Linked DNA regions of Xenopus tropicalis. The protein of the gene in region 1 interacts with the protein of each later gene in a pairwise test. Links are inferred from orthologs where the notes say so. Each region holds a gene or a part of one and is shown in the gene's direction. Other genes may lie near its edges.

Evidence for each region. The genes of interacting proteins can lie anywhere in the genome.
Region 2: the proteins of prpf31 (region 1) and jakmip2 interact in binary tests that used the Homo sapiens proteins (3 or more experiments, as listed by UniProt). The two-hybrid records come from large-scale screens. The link is inferred for Xenopus tropicalis from reciprocal best matches to the Homo sapiens genes PRPF31 and JAKMIP2.
Region 3: the proteins of prpf31 (region 1) and tada2a interact in binary tests that used the Homo sapiens proteins (3 or more experiments, as listed by UniProt). The two-hybrid records come from large-scale screens. The link is inferred for Xenopus tropicalis from reciprocal best matches to the Homo sapiens genes PRPF31 and TADA2A.
Region 4: the proteins of prpf31 (region 1) and ssx2ip interact in binary tests that used the Homo sapiens proteins (3 or more experiments, as listed by UniProt). The two-hybrid records come from large-scale screens. The link is inferred for Xenopus tropicalis from reciprocal best matches to the Homo sapiens genes PRPF31 and SSX2IP.

The regions. Positions count from the first base shown.
Region 1 is NC_030683.2:104,950,955-104,957,266, reverse strand, and holds part of prpf31 (U4/U6 small nuclear ribonucleoprotein Prp31), read left to right. Parts: intron 1-778; 5' UTR 779-787; coding exon 788-961; intron 962-2,324; coding exon 2,325-2,385; intron 2,386-3,245; coding exon 3,246-3,329; intron 3,330-3,535; coding exon 3,536-3,633; intron 3,634-4,236; coding exon 4,237-4,343; intron 4,344-4,427; coding exon 4,428-4,597; intron 4,598-5,477; coding exon 5,478-5,635; intron 5,636-5,720; coding exon 5,721-5,810; intron 5,811-5,897; coding exon 5,898-6,025; intron 6,026-6,111; coding exon 6,112-6,184; intron 6,185-6,312. UniProt on the Homo sapiens protein: Involved in pre-mRNA splicing as component of the spliceosome. Required for the assembly of the U4/U5/U6 tri-snRNP complex, one of the building blocks of the spliceosome.
Region 2 is NC_030679.2:43,573,430-43,579,741, forward strand, and holds part of jakmip2 (janus kinase and microtubule-interacting protein 2), read left to right. Parts: intron 1-668; coding exon 669-788; intron 789-1,964; coding exon 1,965-2,093; intron 2,094-3,085; coding exon 3,086-3,169; intron 3,170-6,312.
Region 3 is NC_030678.2:76,082,738-76,089,049, forward strand, and holds part of tada2a (transcriptional adapter 2-alpha), read left to right. Parts: intron 1-548; coding exon 549-592; intron 593-2,875; coding exon 2,876-2,986; intron 2,987-6,276; coding exon 6,277-6,312. UniProt on the Homo sapiens protein: Component of the ATAC complex, a complex with histone acetyltransferase activity on histones H3 and H4. Required for the function of some acidic activation domains, which activate transcription from a distant site. Binds double-stranded DNA.
Region 4 is NC_030680.2:77,496,879-77,503,190, forward strand, and holds part of ssx2ip (afadin- and alpha-actinin-binding protein), read left to right. Parts: intron 1-3,348; 5' UTR 3,349-3,417; coding exon 3,418-3,466; intron 3,467-3,992; coding exon 3,993-4,144; intron 4,145-4,304; coding exon 4,305-4,514; intron 4,515-6,312. UniProt on the Homo sapiens protein: Belongs to an adhesion system, which plays a role in the organization of homotypic, interneuronal and heterotypic cell-cell adherens junctions (AJs).

The DNA.
Region 1 (6,312 bases):
ATAATTCAAAAACTAAAAACTAGTACAAATAAAACATACCAATACCAATTGAAAATTTGCAAAGAATAAGCCATCCTGTAACACAATTAAAGTTAACCTAAAAGTGAACCACCCCTTTAAGCATTGTTTTCGGGTGTATGGGAAAGCTTTACCTTGTGGCAGCATTATTCCATTGCTTAAAGAAACACCCTTATTCCTTTAGCTGATTAGTTCATCCTGCCATACTGACTGGGCAGGCTCCCCTGTTTCCTTCTTTTCTGCATAGAGCAGGGATTCTCAAGCATTTTACTTGTGAGCCACATTCACATGTAAAAAGTATTGGTGAGCCACACAAACCTGAAAAAAAAAATTATTTGGGGATGGAAAATAAAGGCTGTGATTGGCTATTTGGTAGCCCCATGTGGACTGCCGGCCTGCAGGAGGCTCTGCTTGGAGTTAAACTGTCTTTCTGCTTCCAAAACTTGCCTCCAAGCCAGAAATTTAAAATTGGGCACCTACTACAGGCCATTGGGAGCAACATTAAACTGGGTGGAAGAGCAAGGTGTTCATGAGCCAATGGTTGAGAATCTGGCATAGAGCATTGTGAAAAAGCCGGGTAGGATTTTTGCAGAAAAGTTTAACTGATAAAGATCAAATGAACTGGATGTCTTCTTAGTAGGAAAGGACATATCTCTGATTATTTAATGAGCAGTGGATGATCCTGGGACTTTTGCAGTTTTATTTGGCACCTTTTAAACCAATGTAAATAGGGAGATGCAAATATATATCTTTTTTCCAGTAATACAAGATGTCTCTGGCGGATGAATTATTGGCTGACCTTGAGGAGGCAGCAGAAGAAGAAGAGGAGAACTTGATTGACGAAGATGATTTGGAGACCATTGAAGAGGTGCAGGAGGAGATGCAAGTGGACTTAAATGCAGAATCAGTAAAAAGCATTGCCAAGCTATCGGATAGTAAATTGGTGAGTCTGTGATCTAGATATATTGCTCTGTATACACCTTATATTTTACACTTTTTCTTTTTGAAACTGATGTTTCATTTTTCACCTTATCTCTACCTGGGGCAGCCTAAGGATGGGGCAACTGTATTAAGTTTTTATTTCTGGTGTTCTATCTAAAAAAAAAAACAACTGAACCAAAAAATATCTAATGTTTAACTCTTGAGACATATTAAGAGAATACAGAACTTACAGACCCCTCCTCAAAATACTTTGGTACATTGCTGCAAAAAACAGTGTAGTAGTAAGAAGTGATCTTTTATAGTGCTTAAGTCCATATGAAAGAGGTCTATATGCACAAATAAGCAATTTGTCAAAACATCGTGAGATAAAAAGTAGGAGGATAAATTCACAACCTGTTTCCAATGTATGCGAGACAGGTCTTGGATACCCAGCAAATGGACTAATGCCTTTAATGGTCAATAAGGATACAGCTTGCAAAAACATGCATTCCTTTTTTTTCAGTTGTTTTTTTTTTTTTTTTGTCCACTGATGTCTCTACTATTGGTTTTTCCACCACCGCATTAAGGGTAGGGGTGCTATTTCCTTGCACTCTGATATTCTATGGAAGCATTTTGCAGCAATAGCAAGTATGTATGGGTTAAGTATGTGCCAGCTTTGTACTCAGATGACACAGATCAGATATCTGCCATAGATTCTCTATTGGATCAATATCCGTTCTTTAACTGAGCGTTGTTTCTCCCTCCCCTCATTACATCCTTCTGCTCTACATTAAATATGCAAAGTTTCTTTTGATGAAAATCAGGCCCACAGCAGGATTCTGCCACCAACAAACTTCACTTTAGGTATGGATCATCTTACAGTTGAGGGCTACATTTGTTGGCAAGTTACTAACTTGTAAAACCTATAGCTAATCTGCCTGGAAGAATGGCTGATGAATGGAACAGTGTACAAAACTGGCACCTACTTACCCACAAACACTTATGGGCAGATGTATCAGAATGTGAGATTAGAACTCACCAGAGAAAAATTCACACACTTTCTCTTCATTCCTATGGGATTTTCGTAAGTGCATCTATCAAGTGGTGAACTTTAACTTTCACCTATTAATCTAAAAATCACATAAAAATGAATAGAAAGTGTCTTAATTTTTCTTTGGTGAGCTCTAATCTCTCATTTTGATAAAATTGCCCCTTAGTGCTTTCTGTGCTGCAAAAAGTGGTTCTAACACATATTAATGTGTGGGGTTTTATTTTTTTCTCTGATATATATTTATAAATGAAAACAAAATTTTTAAAATGATGGAGCAAAATGTCTATATAGTCTGTTATAACCACATTGTGAAATAAATGATGCATTTTTTCAGTTTTCAGAAATCCTTTTAAAGATTGACGGATACATCAAAAAGCAACCAAAGGCTTCTGAAGGTATCATTTAAATCATGGCATTAACTCCAAAATTTCAAGCCAGAGTACCTAAAATATCTTCAAATAATTTTCATGTGGACTGTTAATAACAGAGACAAAGAGTTACCAACCGAAAAGGATTGCAATATAAAGAAACTCACATTGTATTGTGCTGTAGAGTGAAAGGCAGCTGCATGAGTTTGTGTGGCTTTAAGGGAAAGATATTATAATAATTCATGTTTTGGTGTGATGTTAATGGTTATTGAATGGGATGACTTATTCTGCCTCACTCATGCCTGAAATTTGAAATATCCATAACCCTGGTATACAAAACAGATTGATGTGGAGGCTAGACTTTAATTGGTATTTTATATTACATGTTTTATTACACATCTTTTCAAAAAAGTGTTCTTCGTTTTTAAATCTAAACTGCAGTTTTCCCAGTTATTAAAAAAGAGATGAATGATGGCAGACTGCAAATTATTGTATATTGCCAGTTCTTCATATAAAAAGGTATAGTTATAAATTGGCACAGTGGTTAATTTCATTACTTTCTCTATGAACTCATTGGTTTGGCATACTGCTGTGTTTCATTAAAGTGACACAAGTAAGAATTCTGGAAAATATAAGCATATTCAGACTAAATATGCCTGTGTTTGTTTTATGATTAGCTTCCCGAGGAGGCGTTTATGTAAATGAATGAATGCTGTTACTCATCGACCTTCCATTTAGCCCAGTGAAATTAGCAATATATGTGATCTATTGATGTAAACTGGTTCAAACAGCAACATTGCATATAGATTCTCAAACAGAAACAAAGCAAGAATGTAGTTTTGACTGCACTGGTAATTTGAATTTTATTCTGTTTCTATTTTTTTTAGTAATGGGCCCTGTTGAAGCTGCTCCAGAGTACAAAGTTATCGTTGATGCTAACAATCTGACTGTGGAGATTGAAAATGAGCTAAGTAAGTGCATCTGACTGTATTCTCCGTGTTGGTAGAAAGTGCAATGTTTCAATAATCTGAGGTGATGATTTAGTAAAATAAGTGCTACATTTATGTACAACCCTTTTGTATAGGAAACTGCAGATACTATGTTAGAACATCTATAGCACTTGTGTACAGTATATATGGGAGTGTACGCTCTTAAAACCTATATTATATCTTCTTAGATATCATTCACAAATTTATTCGGGACAAATATTCCAAGAGGTTTCCTGAGCTGGAGTCCTTAGTTCCTAATGCTTTGGATTATATAAGGACTGTGAAGGTAGGTGATTTGTGTGCATGAGGATACTAAGTGGTTAGTTTGTGTGTCTTTCAGTAAGGGGGATTGTATTTTGTGCATGTGTGTATATAGTTATGGTATAATGGTGATGTCTGGATACACAGTGTGTAGTATAACAGTATGTAGGAACATACACTGAATAGAGAAGGTAATTTGTATAAAGATTTATTAAGCTGGACCCAAACTTTTCTTAAAATGTTAAATGAAAAATGTATGAACCATAAACATATATGGGGTACATGAAGTGACAATAAACTTAGCATTAGGTGACATCAGTAAACTACTTATGGCACCACTTTATGAACTTTCACATTTATTTTTCTTCAGTTTTTAGGTTAGCTTGGGGCCTAACAAAATCATCAGTATTGTGTGGGTTTCCCCTAGGTACTTTGCTTTCTTTTAATACTGCAAAGACATACAAGGAGGGTAATTGGTTCCTGATAAAATTGACCCTACTATGCCTGAAACTTATAGGGACCTTAGACTGGGACTGATGAGAATGTATATTATCTCTGTAAAGTGCTGCTGAATATGTTTACGCTATATAAATATCAAAAATAATAACATCTTATTTGGGTGTTGTAGGAGCTAGGGAACAATCTGGATAAATGCAAAAACAATGAGAATCTTCAGCAAATTCTGACCAATGCAACTATCATGGTTGTAAGTGTGACAGCCTCCACAACTCAGGGGTAAGTTCATATATCTGTTACTATACTATAACTTTTTCAGTGTTTGGGATGAAAATAAGAAGTAAGTTCCTCTGATCTACACAGGCAGCAATTAACAGATGAAGAACTGGAACGAATTGAAGAAGCGTGTGATATGGCGCTAGAACTCAACCAATCCAAACACAGAATTTATGAGTATGTGGAATCTCGTATGTCATTCATTGCTCCTAACCTCTCCATCATTGTCGGGGCCTCCACTGCTGCCAAGATCATGGGTAAAGTGTCATAGTGTTTGTTTTTATTTTAGCCAAGATTGTTTTATATCTTCACTCTTCTGCACAAAAAAATCTGTTCTGTAAACCATTGGCAGAACTTTAGTAAATAGATAAAATGCTTTTATTTACAGCTTAGGGCACACAATAGCTGCTTCTAAGAGTATTTATTAAAGGAGAAGGAAAAACTAAATTACCAAATATTAGGCACCCCCCCCCCAGTGTAATGGCTTACCTGTTACCTCGGGCTGGTGCTCCTGTTAGTAGAAAACTGCCCTGTCCCAGGGTTACTTCTGCAGAAGCTCTTTGGCACAATTTTTTTTCCCCACACTGGACACGGGCATGCAAATGTGCTCTAGTGTAAAAGAGTCTGCTTTTCAGTTCGCATGCACCATGGATCGATGGCTACAAGGATTTTCTGCAGAAATACCCGGGCCAATGCACTTTTTACAGAACAGGTAGCACCAGCCCAGGATATTGGGTAAGTGATCTTAACCCAGTGATTTAAACTTTCCTTCTCCATATATATCTATATCTCAGCACAGGGGTAGCTTGCTTGGGTGGTAGTGGGAACTTTACACAGTCCGTTTAGAGGAGGGCCTTTCAGTAAAGAACTTCCAGTTTGTTTGTTTGTATGAACGCAATATTTGTTGGTTGCAATGCTTGGCTTGCAGGCCCCTCCTTCCCAAACTGGCTGAAAGTATGGAGGCGTCATTTGCTTGACCTAGTTAGCTGCTCTTCTGCTTTGTCAGTTTATTTCTATTCACTTGATAAAATGGTTAACACACGATACAGAAAGGTTTTTAATTATGTATATTTATTTATTTCATGTGTCAGGGTCACTTGAAAATATATATTTTTTTTCTGTAATTATCAATTGCAGGTATTGCTGGAGGTCTTACCAATCTCTCGAAGATGCCAGCTTGTAATGTCATGCTGCTGGGAGCTCAGAGGAAAACATTATCTGGTTTCTCCAGCACCTCGGTGCTGCCACATACAGGATACATTTATCACAGCGACATTGTCCAGTCCTTGCCACCAGTAAGATGAATATTGCCCTGCTTGTTACTTGTAGATTTATATTTACATTAAAGGGGAGTGATGCTTATTATTTTTCCCCTTATAGGACTTGCACAGAAAAGCAGCACGACTGGTATCTGCAAAATGTACCTTGGCAGCACGTGTTGATAGTTTTCATGAGAGTTCAGAAGGAAAGGTCAGTGTCTTTATGCTGGTTGCTTGGTACTTAGGTTACATATTGTTAGCTATGGTTTGTAGCTTTAAGTGTTTATTATCTGTGTAGGTTGGATATGACCTAAAAGAAGAGATTGAAAGAAAATTTGATAAATGGCAAGAACCTCCACCAGTCAAACAAGTGAAGCCCCTTCCTGCTCCACTGGATGGACAAAGAAAGAAACGTGGAGGCCGCAGGTGGGGGCTGCTGCTGTAATGGTCTTTTTTTCTGTAATGGGCATATGTTTGTGTGCTAATTCTGTCTCGTTCCTGCTTACTTTTAGGTACCGCAAAATGAAGGAACGTTTGGGGTTAACAGAAATCCGTAAACAAGCCAACAGAATGAGCTTTGCAGAGGTGCTGCATCTGTATTTTCTTTCCTATGTGTGTCTGTGTGTATATACGCGTATGCAATAAGTAGAGTGCATTCTGGACATGTAGTGGCAGTTTTCCAAAGCAAACTTTGCAGAACTGGGCTATGACAC
Region 2 (6,312 bases), on another chromosome or scaffold:
GCTCCCTATGTTAGATAAATGCCTCAGAATCTAGGTGCAATATAGTATATTGGTCATGTAGGTTATTGTCCATAAAGGGACATCAGCACATTTGTAATTTCTACCTATACACTTAGGGGCTGATTTACTAACCCACGAACGGGTCGAAATGAGTCCGATTGCGTTTTTTTCGTAAAGATCTGTATTTTGCGTTTTTTTCGTATTTTTTGCGATTTTTTCGGCGTCTTTACGAATTTTTCGTTACCAATACGATTTTTGCGTAAAAACACGAGTTTTTCGTAGCCATTACAAAAGTTGTGTAAAATCTTGCGATTTTTCGTAGCGTTAAAACTTACGTGAAAAGTTGTGCCTTTTTCGTAGCGTTAAAACTTAAAAGGTGCGAAGTTTCGCGTAAGTTTTAACGCTACGAAAAAAGCGCAACTTTTTGCGCAAGTTTTAACGCTACGAAAAATCGCAAGATTTTACACAACTTTTGTAAAGGCTACTAAAAACTCGTGTTTTTACGCAAAAATCGTATTGGTAACGAAAAATTCGTAAAGACGCTGAAAAAATAGCAAAACATACGAAAAAGTCGCAAAATGTTCGTTTTCAAGTCGGAACTTTTCTAATTCGGGTCGGATTCATGGGTTAGTAAATCAGCCCCTTAGAATGTTGTACTACTTTTACAGAGGCACCTAGTTGATACAGTGTTTGGCTACGATGATGATTCTATGGATTCAGAAACCTCTTCTGTTGCTTCATATCGGACGGATCGAACACCTGCAACACCAGATGATGATTTAGATGAAGTAAGAAAAATGTCCTTGCAGATTACCCAAGGGTTTTTATGGATTTTCAGTACTGTATTCTGGATATATTTAGATGCCATTATGGCGGCAGTGAATGCACACAAATAATTAAAAGGCACTTTAAGATTAAGCTTCAGCCATTGTTATTTGCATTGACACCCTAAATATCAATAACAGCATAATGGTCAAGAATTTTGGCAGGTGCTAAATCAGATCTCACTTACAGCTTATACATTGTTGGAGCTCACCAATGCCCTCAAAACATTATTCCCTACTTTGGCCATACACAAAGGGGCACATTCATTAAAATATGACAGGTCCAATTACAAAAATTTTTTATTTTTTCCAAAGTTTACAACTTTTGCGTATCTTCTGCAATATTTACATTAATTTGCGCAACTTTTTTGTACTTTGCGACAATTTGTGAGACAAAATCGTATTTGTTGCAACAAGTACGAAGGTTTCGGATTCATTCAAGCTTCGGTATTGTGACTTTCCTTGGGCCAGGTTGGAGCTGCAGAGTGCCATTGAGCCCTATGGGAGACTTTCCTTGGGCCAGGTTGGAGCTGCAGAGTGCCATTGAGTCCTATGGCAGGCTTCCAAAATCATGCACTGAAGGTTCAGAAAGTCAGAAAGGTTTTCGCGTCGTTTACGATCGTTCGGATGCGAAAAGTTTGTAACTTTCGGATCGTTCCAGAATATATTCGCCCAAGCACAACACAAATTTTTTGCAAAATTATTGCACATCAGAAATTTTTGTATTTAATGCGAATTTTTCAAATCGTATTCGTAATTCATACATTAATGAATCTGGCCCCAAGAGTATTTTAAATGATGGAAGATCTACCTCCACTGAAGCTTCTGAGGATAAACACACTAGAAAGCAGTAGACACAAGTATACAGTACATACAAATTTTCATTACACCTTCCTCATGCTGTGCATATTTCACAAAATAACTCTAAGAACTAAATATATCTCCTATATCTTGGCTCCTTTATATGAGGCCACCCTTTGCTATTGGAATTTTTCCATGTTCAGACTAAAAATAATGTAGTTGTAGCAAGAATTATGTAAGTAGAGACCATCTTACAACTGATATTTTCACCTGTTGCATTTTCAATGAAAGGTACATTCACATCAAATCTATAAGTAATTATTTTTTGTCTATTCAAAGAACCTTGCAGCGGAGGAATCAGAGCTGCGATTTCGGCAGTTAACAAAGGAGTATCAGGCACTGCAGAGGGCATATGCATTGCTGCAAGAACACACAGGAGGCTTTACAGACGCTGAGAGAGAAGCAAAGGTATATCATGTCATTCAGATTTAGTACTGTGCCATTCAGTACAACCCCATCTACAGCTTAAATATTTGCCTGTGTTGAATTTCTTATTTTTATTCACATTTCTTAAATATGAAAGACATTTCTTATTGAAACACAAACTCCATGGAGATACCCAGGAAAGAATTCTTCTCTGTAGTAATAACTAATTGTAGCCAAATGGTATCAAAATGTATCATTTGTTGTATTTTATTAAAGAGGGAAAATGTTCAACACTGCTGAAGCCCATATATTATATAGATACTTTTAATAGGTCAGAAAGGAAGAATATTTAGATTTACTATTTTTGAGCAATAAAAAAAGTTTACGACTAACTAGATCTGATGAATATTTGCTGTGCTATGTGATTTACATCAAATACCTTTTTACTGAAGTGTATGGCAGCCTGTCATACTATTAAGATAATTACATTTTATTAGGATACATTTCACTTGGGTGTTGCTTTCACACAATAATGACACAGGGGGCTCTGTGGAGCAAAATACAGTTGCCTCTTGCAAGTCTGGACTGGGATTTAAAATAGACCCTGGCATTTAAGTACACAGAGCCATAACAGCCCTCATTGGCCCAATAAATAGTGACTATGGCATCTTACAGCAGCCACTCTGGCATTTGCCAGAATCCACAGATTGACAGTCTGGGCCTGAATTTGTGTTACCAGTAAAACCCTTGTCCTGGGGTGGATAGAGACTGCCTTGCTGGCTGTTGGTTTACCAAAAACATTTTTACACTGATCATAAGTCAGTTCACATGGAAGCTAATGGAAAGGATAACTTACATACCTTTGCTGGTTGGACTCTTCCAAAAATGTTGTCTCAATAACAAAACCATAGGATTTTTTGAAATATTACCTGCTACTATAACTTGAGTTACCCATTGGGACATATACTTTATAGCAAGTGTCACATGCTGTGTGAAAATGAATGAGTAATAAACGTGTGCAATGTATTTCGTAGGCGCAGGAGCAGATGCAAACAGAAGTTCTGCGCTACAAAGCAAAGGTTGAAGACCTGGAGAAAACACTGGCACAGAAGGGGCAGGTTGGTTAATTTCACTGCGTATATATTTTCTAAAACTGGTATTGTTAAGTAGATACATTTAATAAGAAAAAATAAAAGAGCACTTTTTTATATGGGCTAAAACATCTGTAACACAACAAAAGAGAGGAGGATGTAAATTCACTATCCAATAAGCTTTATAAGAGTCTTGGAACTTCAAAGGATGACAGGATATCAGAACCTTAAAAGAAACAGAACATCTTTCTAGTCATATGGAATTGTCTTCAAAAGAGAAGTACTAATATAGAAAATCTGCCATGTTCATTCTGAACAACTGTATTTTTTAGCTACATCATCATGGTGCCAGAATCACCTCTCCAGGCTTCATCTATGGCAAAGGGCTATTCTTCATATAGGTATCCATTTAAGAGTACAGGTTCCTAGAAAATGTACACATATTTTTATTGTTTTCTTATATTGCTAATGAGATAGCAGCAAAGCAACCACAGCCACACTAACAACCTTCAACGGTATTAACAACATAGGAGCCCTGTGTTGCCATGGGCAGATCCAAGGACCTGGGGCCTTATGACAACTGTGAAAAAATAATTTCTCTTGCGTCCTGGGGGACACAGGCACCATGGGGTTAAATCCCCTCCCATCAGGAGGCAGGACACTGTATAATTTTGATTTCTCTCCCCTATATAACCTCTTCCCCCACCCAGGTACCTCAGTTTTTTTAGTGTCCTCGCAAACAGGAGGTTGGACAGAAGAGTCTCTAGGAGACACAACTTGAAAGGATCACTACGGTTCAGGGCTTAGCCCTAACACCCGGGGTGGTACCTGAGGCAGCCTAGGCTGCACTCGCTGCGTCAGCCCCCTACGCTGGACGGCTCCTTGAGCCTGCTGCCTAGAAAAGGCAATGTACCCGACGGCCGCCCCCCCCCCTCCCTACAACGGGGGCCCACGGCACAAACCCGGGATTACAGAGGAGCATGAGGTCCCCTCTAGTCTCTTCTAACCCTCCGCACCGACCACAGGTAGCGAGAGTGAACAGGGGTTTACAGCCCCTCCTCACACACGGGAGATCCCAACCTCTCCCCCATACCTACATCTGGCAGGCGGAGGGTCAGGGTATCCTCCGGCAGCCGCCCCTACACTCTCACACGGCGCGCCTGCTGTGACGCAGCCGGCGAGAGAGTGAGGCAGAGGGAGCCCGGCAGGTAATGGATGGTACGCGCCTTCCGCACCCTCAATAACCGCACCGAGACTTCCGGCCGTACCGCCGGAAGTGCGCGCGGCTCACGTGACCTCCCCACATTCGCGCCCTCAGTCGGCTCCTCCCCTTCCGGCATCCGACAGAGCGCGCGCTCGCAGCTACGCTACACGGCAGCCCTGCTCCCAACGCAGTCAGAACGCCACAGGTCTCTCACCCTCCATATCTCCTCTTCCCTCTACCAGGCACAGATACGGTAAAAGGGTCACTAAGCCAACATGGCTGAGGGGTCAGGGGATGCACTATTCCTCAGAGGGGGGAAACAGGCGTCCAAAGTAACTTTCTTTGCATGTACTCAATGCAAGAAAAAGTTTAAGGTGGCACAAAAAGACCCAGTTTGTAAAGCTTGCACCACTGCTACCACGGATGCAGAGCAACCCACGCCACAATTAACAGACCAGGGGGAGAATGTACAGGCAGCACTACCCTCAACATCGGGCAATGTGGCTACAGAAGCCCCTGAGGCTCCAGCCTGGGCAGTTTCACTATCTAATTCCCAAGCTAATCTGCAGGGAATCCCACTATTAGCATCATCTCTAGATAAAATCCTAGACAAACTAGCATCTCCTAATGTAGTTAAGAGCACATCTAAACGCAAGTGCCCATTACCTAATGACTCTACTGCACCCTCCTCACCTGAGTCCCATTCGGACCAGGAAGGGCTCAGCGAAGGGGAATTATCCCACTCCGCATCAGAGGGCGACTCTGCCTCAACCGCCCAGGACTCTGCCAGGTCACCAAATGACCTGATTGTGGCAGTCCTTCAGGCCCTTAACATTGAGGATACTGACAAGGGGGCTAAGACCTCTAAGGGTCTATTCCGCAGAACGGCCTCGCACGAAATAAATTTCCCAGCCCATGAACAACTCCAAGCCATCATCCAGGAGGAATGGAACCTCCCGGAACACAAGTTCCAAGTCACCCGAAAATTCTCAAAACTTTATCCCTTTCCAAAAGAGGACCTGGGAAAATGGAGCACCCCACCTCTAGTGGATGCTCCGGTATCGCGGTTGTCAAAAGCCACCGCCTTACCCGTCCCAGACGCATCTGCCTTTAAGGACGCCACCGACAAAAAACTGGAAGGCTTCCTTAAAGCTATCTTTACCTCTGCAGGTACAGCCTTTAGACCCATTCTTGCCATGGCATGGGTAAGTCGGGCTCTGGAAGTGTGGTCTGACGCCATCCTCACCGGTCTACAGAGCGAAACTGCCATCGAGGACGTCGAGTCCGTCGCACTACACATCCAAGAGGCGAGTTCCTTCCTCAGTGAGGCTTCACTGGATGCCCTGAAGCTGCTGGCCCGCACATCCGCTCTCTCAGTAGCCGCACGCCGCTCCCTGTGGCTTCGACTATGGTCGGCTGACCTTAGCTCAAAAAAGTCACTTACCTCTCTTCCCTTCAAAGGTTCCCGCCTTTTCGGCGAAGAACTAGAAAAAATTATCTCACAAGCAACGGGGGGCAAAAGTACACTGTTGCCCCAGCAAAAACCCAAGAGCAGACCCTCTACTACATCTTACAAGAGACAGCGCTTTTTTCGAGGCCAAGGTACGCGTTTCTCAAAAGGATCACCTCCATCCAGATCCTCCTCTTCTGCCAGAGGTGGGCCCACCTCCAGAGGCAGAACAACCTGGCAGTCTCGCAAGACATTTACCAAGAACTCTAACGAGAAGAGCTCCTCAGCATGACTGGCCGCACGACACTTGGCCAGACATTCAGGTCGGGGGACGTCTCAAACACTTCGCCACCACCTGGGCCGAACTCATAGACGACCCCTGGGTCATAGACTCAATATCTTCCGGTTACAGGATAGAATTCCACAGAACACCTCCACAGAGGTTCTTCATGTCCCGGGTTCCCATAGAACCCCAAAAACAAACCGCCTTCTTATCCATCGTACAGGAACTGGCAC
Region 3 (6,312 bases), on another chromosome or scaffold:
TAATCTACTTTTTAAAGGAGATGTAAACTCATCCCATTATTGTAAAAACCAGCAATTTTCCAATATACATGCTTTATTTTATTCTTACAGTTGTGAAGATAACAAGCAGCCTCAGCCAGCCCTGCCTCAGCTGTACAAGAAACTTGGGCAATTGCGGGCTGTTCTTATCTCTCAGTGTAGCCACGGCCAGTTGGAACAGAGAATACACAGGCAGCAAACGAGCATACTTGCCTCTGATTGGCTCCTGTTGCACACAGAGGACTGAGCAATAAGAGAGGGATAGGATTACTGCAGCAACAAAGCAATGGACTGACTGAGGCTGCCTGTGGCAGCAAAGGAAATCAATTGATTATTTAGAGAACAGTGAGAATAAAACAAAGCATGTATATTGGAAAGTTTCTTGTTTTTAGAAATTCTATCATAATCCTTAACCTAAAGGGATGACTTTACATCCCCTTTTTGCTTGGCAATCATTGCCTTGGAATTGAAACATTGTTTTATTACAGAAAAGAGACTTGCTAAAATACATTTTTGTTTTCACATTTCAGAATTATAAGAGAGCATGGCCTTATAAATCTTAGGAAATTTCAAAGTAAGTGTTCTTTTATCCTCACATTTATGCTTAATAAATTTTTAATCTAGTAGCATTTTTGCAAATAGCGTAGCACCATATCCAAGATTTGTTTTAGGATTTGGCTGAACTGCAAGGATATTTTCGAATTAATACACAAATTCATGGTTTCAGTATTTGGTCAGTCAATCCAAAAATTATGGTTTGTTTATCTCTGATTTAAAATTGATGATGAAAAACTGAAGAATGGCCTATACTGGCATAGCTTTATGATATCTCTGCACTAGCTATGAGCAAACCTAGGCTTCTGCTGTTCTACATATGGAGAAGCACATCTTCAGCTAGTAATTATTAAAGGAGACATATTGGATAAATGGGAAAAAACGCTAATTTTGTAGGCAATTATGAATAATATACGGTGCTGGTTTCCCTTTGGGCTAAAAATTAATCCTATCTGTAAAAATGGCCCCTTTATTAGAGCTCCCTATAGATCGTATCACTTCTCTGTCCAGTGTGAAATGAAGAGCGGGTGTGTCCTAACGGTCCCTGCCAGAAGCACAGTAGGAGGGGGAGAGCCAATCACAGCCCTGCACTCACACAAGCAAAGACAGGCTTCAGTTCCCTATCAGGTCAGCCTAGCTGCTGATTGGTTCCTATCCTACAGTGCAGTGTACGGAGGGCCGCCGGCTCCCCAGCTCATCCAGAGAATTCAGCCAGCAGGAAGTGGAACAGATGGGCGAGGCTAGTGGGGTTTTTGTGGAATTTCTCAAAAAATCAGTTCGAAACACAACATTTTTAAGCCCAATCCTTCTATATCTAGAGGAGTATAATTCATTGGAACATTCATAATTTTTATAGGATATGTCTCCTTTAAACATATGGTCGAATTGAACTTATTAGAACCCTGTCAGCAATACATTAAGATGGCTTGCCATTTAAGTTATGTATAAGATTCCATGCTTTCCACTCGTTTGTATTAGGGATGCACTGAATCCACTTTTAGATTCTGCCGAACCCCCAAACCCTTTGTAAAGGATTCGGCTGAACCGAATCCAAACTCTAATTAACATATGCTAATAAGGTTTTGGAAGGGTTAAATCTCGCTGTGAGCAGAGCGAGGCAAGATATTTTCAATTTCCGTGATTAAATGCCAAAAAGTCACATGATTTTTAGGATTCAGTTCAACCAGGAGCATGGATTTGTACAAATCCTGCCGATAAAGGCAGAATCTTGGCCAAATCCAGAAACTGAAAACCTGTATTTGGTGCACCCCTAATTTTTATATACATGCATAAATTGTAGGAAAAGAATTTTGAACCTGAAGGACAAAAAGAATCCACAACCCCACACCACAAACAATGGAAAGTTTACATACTGTAGCAAGGCAGAAACATGACTTGCTGGAACTATTAATATTTGACTTAAGTAATTAAGGCTTTCAATACATTGAGATTTTACCTTCAAATATAGATAAGTTAACCATTAATAACCCCTTTGTCTGTCAGATTTACTTGTGTTATTGGCAGCAAATGGGGATGTTTCCTACGGATCTAGGTGTCAAAATGGCGCCTGTCCTCAGGAAATGGAGACGGATGAGAACCCTACACACTATAGAGTCCTTTTTAAAAAAAACCATTTCATTTCTGTAATAATAATAGTACTATGTATTTTATTCTAACTAAGCAGCATGAATCTGTTTGGGGGCAAAACAATCCTATTGGATTTAGCTAATGTTTAAAAAAATTTTTTAAAAGTTGGGGGTTATGTATTGAATATGTTTCTATTTCTCATTGTATAAGCTGCCTTTATGGCCAAGTAACCTCACTGACTGACAGCGCAACAGCTGGTATGTCCAAGGGAAAAACATTTTAAGAATAGGATATTTTGCAACTTGCTGTTTTTCAATTGTTGTCTCTTGCCTATGTATGGCAGACACAAATGAATTTAAGTCCTGGAGACTTTTCAGTCGATTCTGTGTCAAACACATGCATATATTGAGCACTCGTGTTCACGTGTGTGCCGAAACATGGTCTCCTCACCAGGAACTCCCTTGTGGTGGAATGTGTATAGCGCATGTCTGGAGGGCTTTCTTGAAAAAAATACTCTGTTAGCCCACATGGTGAGGGAAACGATTTTGATACGATAGGTGCCCTTTAAGATATATTTATTGGCATGTTTAAAATCCTAGTAATGAAGTGATAGCAATATGTTGCTTTTATATGATATTTTCTTGCACTTGTTTTTGGTGTCTGAATGTCTCCTTCTGTACACTATTGAATAACATACTTTGTTATTGTTTCTTAGTTTTAGAACGACGGTATCCCAAGCATGTCCAAGAGCTTTATGAAGCAATGAGGAGATTTGCCAGGATATTGGGGCCATATGAACACGACAAATTCATTGAAAGTCATGCACGTAAGAGAGATTCATAACATATCCTATAACATATAAATTTCTGGCATCTGTTACCCAGAAAACAGATGTCTAGAAAACTCCAGAAAAACTTTAAAGCCATTTCATTTCAACTAACAGGGTTTATGGGGTTTTTTGTTTTAAAGATTTGCTTTTTGTCTATAATTAGACATTGGCGTAATGATAACCAAGTTAGAATAAATACCTATTAATTGCAAAACAGTTCTTTTTATACCCTTTGTAAACCTCCTTGTCCCAAGGGTTCTGGATAACAGATAGGGATGATCTAAAACCGGGGTGCCCAGACTTTGTCACCCTGTGATCTACTCTTGCCACTTGGCCTCCATCATGAGATCTACCACAGTTAAAATTGTGCAACGTCTATCATTTGGCACAATAAACAAGTATCAATCGATGACACATAGCAATATTTAAATGCAGTTCCAACTTCATATTTAATGCCCAAATAACATTATTCAAGTGCCAACTTCAAGTTCAATGTGGAAGGATTGTAGTAGTTTTTACTTCCCTTCTTTATGGCCCACTTTGTAGTCTGCACACAGAAACATATATAAAGTAGGAACAAATATATATATATCATCATCCTGATGACGATCCTGTGGTGATCGAAACGCGTAGATGGTATGCTGAAATAAATCACTGACCTGATTGATGCTGTAGCTGTGAGTGCTTTCTACTGTTGAGTTTGATGCATTATTTTTGTCAGCACCCAGCCTTTGCCCCGATATTGGTGAGTGCCGATTCTTTACAAGACTAAAAGGGGTCACTGCCTGGGTGCTAATGCAAATCAAATAATAAAGTACAATTGCAATAAAGGCTAGCACTCACAGGATTTTCGTTAGTATTTGTCAAAAATAAAACAAAAAAGAATCTAACAAAGCAAATGTCTTACATGGTTTTTATTAATCCGATGTTTCAGCTCCACACAGGAGCTTTCCTCAGGGAGGAATATAGATATATATAGATATATATAGATATAGAAATATATAGAGATATATATAGATATAGATATAGATATAGATATATATATAGATATATATATATATATATATATATATAGATATAGATATAGATATAGCGCAGCCTGGTTGGGACAATCAAAGACGGAAGGCTTGGGCAACCGCACTCGAAAGCTCCAGTATGCTGGGGGGGAAAATGAAGTTGCCGGATGTCGTCCTACTGCATTCAACCTCAAAGTCTACCCAAAACTTTAAAGTGGTCTACTGGTAGACAAACGATCTACCTTTTGTGCACCCCTGATCTAAAATGTCACTTGCTGGTGGGCTTGCATGTGGTGGTGCACTAGCAAATGCTCTTACAAATAACCTTTATCACAACACTAGGTGGCAGCACCCCTCTTTGCTAGAAAATAGGTTGCCATTTCATTGCCTCTTATTATGGGTGTATTTCATCATCATAGAGTAGAGGTTTTACCCTTCCTTTGTGTCTTTTAGATTAGTTTTTAGTATGTTGTAGAGAGTGATATTCTGAGACAGTTTGAAACTGATCTCTATTTTTTTTATCTATAGTTTTTAATTATTTAATTTTTTTTTGTTCAGCACCTCTCCAGTTTGGAAGTTCAGTAGCTGTTTGCTAGGGGCAAATTATCTTAGTAACCAGGGAGTGGTTTGAATGAGAGACTATAATGTGAATAAGGAGAAGAAGGCCTGAACAGAAACATAATAAGTGACAATAACAATAAAATTGTAGCTATACAGAACAAAAGTTTATTGGCTGCTGGAGTCAGAAGAAGAAAAAATAAGGCTAATTGAAAAGTTGTTTATAACATACTAAATGTTAACGTAAAGGTGAACAATCCTTTTAATAGGCTGAATTTTGGTACTTTAATTATAAAAAACTGTAGAAAAAGGAGTCCTTCACCCCTAAATGTATTTTGCATAATGAAAGGAAATAAGTGATGTGTGGGTGAGGAAAAACTACCGGCACCTGACCCTAAAACGTAAAATGCACACCTGACCCTAACCTGCAAAATGCACTACTTTTGAGTCGCTTCTGATTCCAAGACAGGAAATCTTCTGAAGCAGGGAATGAAATATAAACTTCAACATAAATTACAAATTTTCAGTCAAGAAGTTCTGTGGAATTACATTTACAAATAACTTTAAAGCCATTAAAAATTGTAATGTATATTGGAAAGTTGCTGAGACTGTTACTATATTATTACTGTAATATACTATTACTATATGCAAAAATAAGTTTTGGGCAGCGTGTGCTATTTTATTGTTATTAATTAAAAAATCAAAACAAAAAAATCCATTGCAGATCTCTCCTTTGTCTTTGGAAAGGTACCCCTACATTTAACTGATTTTTTTGTTGATGGAGCTATTTATTTGCTGGTCCATTAAACACCTGGAAAGTGGGGTGATACTATTTTTTTAATGTTTAGGTAAAAATAACCTAAAATGTATATGATCTTAAAAGAAATTTTAAAAACCCCAAATCTGGTCTTTGGCTAGATAATGAACTCAACCCATATTCCTAAATGGCTAGAATATAAGGTTTTATTTTTCCCAGAATTAACTATATCTCAAAGAAAAAAAACAACTTTTTTTTTTCCTTCCCTATGCCATTTCATTTTTTTTTTTTTTATCACTTCTCCTCTCGCCTTTCTTTTTATTTAAAGACATATCAATCCTAAATAGTTACCTCTAAGCAATGCTTACCCATGACAACTCACATCCCACCTAATGTTCAATCCCTTTCGGTCTATGAACTTAGTTATTATGACACTGTGCCATTGTCGTCTATAAATGGTATATAGATGATATTTGTATGGAAAGGCAAAGGGCATGATTTTTTCCCCTTTGGGATATTAAGATAGTTCATTTCTATGAAAGAGAAATTTGTCATCTATTTAAAAAATATTTAATTCTTCTAGTTATGCACAAACATAGATACAAATACAGCAATATTTATAGATGCATTGAATGATGTACAGAGTGAGTTTTAACAGTTGTAATAAAGAGTTAATATGTTATAAGGAAGGGACATTATTAATGATGTAAACTCAGAATGCCTTTTAAATCTGTATCCACACAGTTAAGATTGTGCCTATGATTACATGTATGTTCACACGAAATGCGTTAGGAGACATGAAAAAAGCTGTCTAACTTTAAACCGCTGCCTGTGTGTCTGATAAGTGCGGGTCAAAGAAGGTTTTAAATTTGATTCATATTACTGGTTTAATCATTCTAAATAAATAACCTTTCCAACAGTTCCCACATTTTAATTTTTATTTATTTGTCTTTCAGTGGAGTATGAACTCCGCAGAGAGATCAAGCGATTAC
Region 4 (6,312 bases), on another chromosome or scaffold:
GCGTTTTTAGAGATCTCTTGAAGGCAGAGAGATTGGGAGAAAGTCTGACAGTTTGTGGGAGCGAATTCTAGAGAAGGGGGGGCAGCTCTTGCAAAATCTTAAATGCGAGTGTGTGAGGAGGGAATGAGAGAGGATTTGAGGAGCAGGTCAGTAGAGGAGCATAACAAGCAGGGCCGGATTTCTGTTTTGGGCGCCCCGAGGCCGCCCCTGTCGGTCGCCCCCTCCCCACCAGTGCGCATGCGCGAAAGCGCGGCCCCCAGTGCGCATGCGCGAAAGCGACCCCACCAGTGCGCATGCGCTCCTTAAAACTCCCATACGGAGCAGTGGGGAGAGGTCCCGACTGCTCCGTATGGGAGCCAAATTTAAATTTTTTTTTTGCGGCGGGGCGGCATGCTGCCCCTAAACTTCTGCCGCCCTAGGCCCGGGCCTTTGTGGCCTCTCCACAAATCCGGGCCTGATAACAAGCGGGTTGGATGGTACCTAGAGATAAGTTCAGAGATGTAGGGTGGGGCAGAGTTATGAACTGCTTTGAATGTGAGAGTCATTAGTTTGAATTTTTGGATCTTGGATGGTAGGGGAAGCCAGTGCAGGGATTGGAGCGGTGGAGAGGTGTATGAGCCTGGCAGCAGTATTCATTATGGATGGGAGAGGGGAAGGCCAATTAATAGGGAGTTACAGTAGTCCAGGCGAGATATAAGAGTGAACAAGAATTTTGGCAGCATCTTGGGTGATAAATGATCGTATTTTGGAAACATTTCTTAGGTGAAAGTGACATGATTTGATAAGTGACTGGATATGAAGCGTAAAGGACAGGTCAGAATCAAGGATAACCCCAAGGCACCGGGCCTGGGAAGATGGGGTGATGACATCCTTAATATGTTTTATTAATGCCATAAAGCACTTTCTATAGGGTCAACCTGTATACAAGATACAGATTCCCTGTTATGAACTGTAAATTATAATAGCCATTCTAAATGCTTGTTCATTATTATTTAGTTGCAGCCAAGCCTGGCTTCCCTTGTGATCTCATAGCTCACCTCAAGCCTGGACTTGCAATCTGTAGGTACTGGCAAATGCCAGAGGGGCTGCTGTGAGATGCTGTAGACCAGTGATCCCTTAACCAGTGGCTCGGGGGCAACATGTTGCTCACCATCCCCTTGGATGTTGCACTCAGTGCCCCCAAACCAGGTAGTTATTTTTTGATGCCTGACTTGGTGGTAAGTTTTTATTGAATAAAAATAAGATTTACTACCAAATAAAGCCTCCTGTAAGCTGATAGTGTGCATAGAGGCTACCTAATAGGCAATCTTAGCCCTTATTTGGCAGCTCCATGAACTTTTATGATGCTTGTGTTGCTCTCCAAATCTTTTTACATTTGACTGTGGCTCACGAGTAAGAAAGGTTGGGGACCCTTGCTTTAGACAGTCGCTGCTTATTGAGCTTGTAGGGGCTGTTTAGAGCTCTGTGTACTCAACATACTGTACCAGGGACTATTTTGAAGCTCAGTTCAGACCTAACTGACCTTTAACATAAGGGAGAGGTCTCTGTTTGTGTCAAGCTTAGTGTAAACTCCTTATCATGCAGTGCAATATGCTATGTGCTGTAGAAGATAGCTGCTTGCTCACGTTTGTGTTCTTCTTTGCTTTTCACATACTGTAAGTAACAGATATCATGTACTTTTAAAGAAAACATTAATTTGCAACTTGAAAGCATTTAATTGGGGGTCTCCATCCAAAAAACTATGCAACTTTACATTATGTATGTATTAATATTTTTAAATTAAACATTCTCCCTTATATGTACATGCAATTGCTGTTGAAAGCAGTATCTGCACTGGTTCTGACTGAATAAATTGAATTAGACTTGGAGGATAATTGATTTCTGCTGAATTGTTTCAAGAGTCAAATACTGCTTTCTATTGCAATTCCATTTACAACTCTCCTTACAGGGTATGCAATTTAAAAAAAAAAAAAAAAAACTTCCACATGTTCACATCTTTCTACACCAAAACAAAAGACATGGAACCTGTGCCTGCTCTTCTTCGTCAGTGATATTTAAAACCTAGCTAGCCTGTGTATGCAGCTAATTGTGCCCAGCCATCTGTATAGGGGATTAGAAGAACAAAATGTAGCAGCTTTAAGTGGATTTTCTCTTGTTACTGGACATCTATCTATTTATGGAACAAATCTTTCCTCTCTGACCTCCTTAATCCAAAGGGAGATGCAAAACCCAAGCACCTGCTATTAAAGGTTGAAATACTTAGAATACACATATTCAGTTTAAAATTCAATCAGTAGATTTTCTTTTCAAATACTTATATAGACATACAGTTCTAAGACCATTTCATGCTTTCATAAACTGATGTGATCATGAAATGCTGATTTGTGGGAGGCTCAGATGCAAACTTTTGCAGGTTTTTTTTGTAAAGAAAATGCATGTAAAAGGCATTGACAGTTAGGGCTATAGAATACTATAGGTGTCGTTTACTTCCTGGGGGTACACGTGTAGGAATGCTAAGGGAGGTGTGGAGTTTCTGCAGCATTAGGAGGCAGTAAGGACAGGGGCCCGATGTGGGCTGCACCTCCTGCTGCTGCCTACCGTGTACGAACTAATGACGTGTAAGTTAGTGTAGGGGGCTGTACTATTCCCCCTGCCTGCCTCTATGATCCTGCATTGACTAACACAGTTTGCACTTTTGCAAATTGTATTGGCATTTGGATCCAGTGCTAAAAAATGGCAGATTGCAGCTTTTTTTGCTCTTTGCATCCTCTGTTTGGCTTTGCAATTTAGGCCTAATATGTTTTTTCTGCTGACAGAAAAGAGGCAGACGTGGGCTGAAACTGCTCAGTATGTGCACATGTTGACAGGAGGGGACCTGTTTGTCACTTTACATATAGGGCAGGTGTAACTTAATAGCATGGGCATGCCCACTGCTTCTAAATCAATCGCATAAACTGGTGGGGAGACGCACTTATGTACATACGTGTTGCCAAACATGGCCATCTACACCAGGAGCTCCATCTTGGTGCAAGTGACTTTGCACTGGAGAGGGGCATTTTTAAGGAAGCAAACTATTGTCTGCACCTCTGATGGGGGAATCAGTTCTTTGAGAATAGAGAATAGATACCCTTTATTTCCTAATCTTAGTAGTGGGATTGGAGTGGATTTTTGCACATACCATATGTACAGTAAATGCAGGTGGTTTTTGAGACTGCTTTTAAACCAATGCTTATTTTGAAGCCCCCCCCCCCAGAAATATTTAAATGTTGTTAGTTCCTACTTATTTAATTCATAAATGTAGTAATGTACAGAATGAATATCCTAATGTTTTTTGTTTTACTTCACCAGGAAATGGCTGCTTGACTGTAATACCTTCAAACTTTTGCATGGTCTACTCTTTGCCATAATATTCATTTCATGTTTATTGCTATGGGAGACCGGAGAACCATCAGTTTGCCAGAATCAGGTATTTCCATGCAAAATTGAGCAAATAATCAACTTAACAACATAGTACAGAATTCTGTTAATGCTCATATATATTTTTTCTCTACGTTTATGTAGCCTCTCTCTCTGTCTAGCTGTGGCCCTCAGTTCGACCCTCCATGTCATTTAATCTGCCTGTTATTTTACTAATCCATATACTTTGAAAGGTACTATTGCCATTATCCCCATCTAAAACGGTCCCACTGCCAGAAATTCAGGGAGACACAAGCCACTGAGTTGGAGAACACATTCACACTGAGAGTGGTACACCCAGACATTCATTTGCCTGGAATCATCCCTTCTGTGGCACTTTAGGGATATGCACAGGCCCTAAATTTTGGCTGCCCATTGTATCTCTGCTAAATAATGGGTTCAGGAAAATGTCTATGGTGTCAAGCCAGTTGTTTCCCTACCTGTGGAGAGGTCTTAACTTGCTCTAAGCCATAAAAATATACCAAATGATAAGCTATGGAAAACATACCAAATACTAAAAATCTTTTTTCTTACAGATAAGGTTTTACAACAGTACAGTTCTGAGCGTGTTTCTCCACCAAGTCTTCTACAATCCCCTTCTCTTTCTGTAGCCAATAACCTGTCTGACAGCGTTTATACTTTCTGCACCGAAGACAACCTAGAGCAGTGCATTACATACATTGATCAGGTATGGGTCCCATATTGTGTAAGGGCTTTGGCACACAGGTTGTTTCTGAGTTCTGCCTGTGTCTACTTTAGAAGGATGTTTTCTGTGGACACCTAAGCTGTTAACAGTTGAAATACCACCAGAAAAAAATGAATGATAACACATGTTTTTCTCTAAATAGGAGCTTAGAACCTTAGGCTTTCCAACAGTGCAAGTTGTATCCAAGAATGGAGAAGGAAGAAAATTGCATTTGGTGTCTATCATCAACTGTATTCATGAGCTACTTCAAAGAAATTCCCAAAATATGCGAGGCAAAGAAGAAGTAGAAACACAGATTCTGAAAATAAATGGTGACCTGGAGCATCTACAGAGTATTCATCAGAGGCAGAAGGTGAGATTGCTGCCAGAGAAATGTGACAGCCCCTGATAAAAGAAAGGAGGGTACAGATGGTGAGGGGGGTTAACCCTTCATATCTTTGAAATAACTCAGGGCAGCAGAGAAGGGTCCCTGGGAGGCCTCTTAAGCAACTTTCTTGCAGTGCTTAAATGATTCCTAAAGTTGTCCATGTTGGTAGCCTTTTATTTTTTAAGATTCAAGAGTCTACAGGGTTTCTGATACATATTTGTAAGATTGTAGATATTAGATTGGAAACTTTTTGGCAGTGCCCTCTGTCTTTTGTATCGGTTGTAGTTGTGGGTGTTTTGTTTTTTTTTTAATACCCATTTATTGTATGGCACTGTGGAATGTTTATAAATATGTGTTAAAGGGGACGATTACCTTGGTTTTACACTTGGCCTAATATTCATGCTAGTATAGCTTAGCATACCTTTTTAGATCTAGTTTTCCTTTTAGTTTAAGCACTGCCCCTCTCCTTCACTTCCTCTCCTGGAACGTCTCGGAGTCAGAGGAGCCACCGGCTTATTGTCATAACCTGGTAATGTCAGTGAATGACAGGCAGAACTCTCTGTGCCTGGCCTGATTAAACTGTCACACACTTTTCATTCAGGTCAGTCATGTCTAGGCAATAGTACAGACTTTTTTTTTTTGTAACAACTGTGGGGCCACTGCTCACATTTAGGAATATGTAATTATTTAATAGTATGTATCAGACGGCGGGCTTCCTGCTATCTCCGAATAACTACTTCCAGTTAAGTGTACAGGCAATTCTGATGTATGCTATTGGATAATGTGAAGAAAGTATGTTCCTCCATGTGACCAGTGTGCCCTCCATCTGTCACAGAGCTATAACTGCTTCTATCAAAGCTGTACTTGTGGAACTAGGGGGCTCTCCAGCTGTCGCAGATGATCAGGAGATGTCCCTCTAGCTGTGAATTAAATCACAATTTGCCCAATCTAAGATTTAAAGGAGTTGCAGCTAGAAGCAGGTGGGCCACACCATAGTTGCTTTATTTACTGTTCTACACAGTAGATGATGTACAAATAAACACTGGGTATGAGATCTTATATCTGATATTGGGGATACAGTAGAACTTTACAGTTTGGAGGAGAGTTGCAGTTCCACTAATCGTTTCATAGGGTAGGAAAAAGAGAGAAAGGGTAGGGACCTTTTTCTGGGGAAAAATGATAATGCTAAAATAAGAGCTGAGTTTGTCCTAATGCTGAGCTTTGAAAATCTTTATAGCTATGATATAAAAGGTAAAACATTTTTGTAAAACCATTTTTGTCACCATACATTCAGAAATAGGGGGAAATACTAGCAGATGAGACTGACACAAAAACCTGTAAAACCTTTAAAGCAGTCTTGTTTGTTTTTTTCTTTTTTTTTTTTTTTTGTCATGTTACCTTTATAACACCTTCAGTTTTAATGATAAGAAGCCAAGCCAACTGTAGGCTAGTAGTATTTTTTTTTTTATTTTGAAATGTTATGTTTATTGGTTGTTTTTATAACCGTTTTGTTTACATACAAACAATGTAAGGGGGAAGATGGAAAGAGTTTGAAAAATCCTGTGTTAGAGGGTAGATTGGGGAGAAGAGGAGGGGGTGCACTCTTGCCTAGTTTTTATAACAGATATAAGCTGTATCTTGAATATGGTCTGTGGGTCTATCTAATATAGGCATAATTGTCCTCTGATTCATTTGTGCATTTATTAAGCGGTGTGGGATAGTCTCTGGGTATGCTGGCTTTCAGTCCATAGGGTCCATGGAGACCAAACCTCCTCGTATTTAT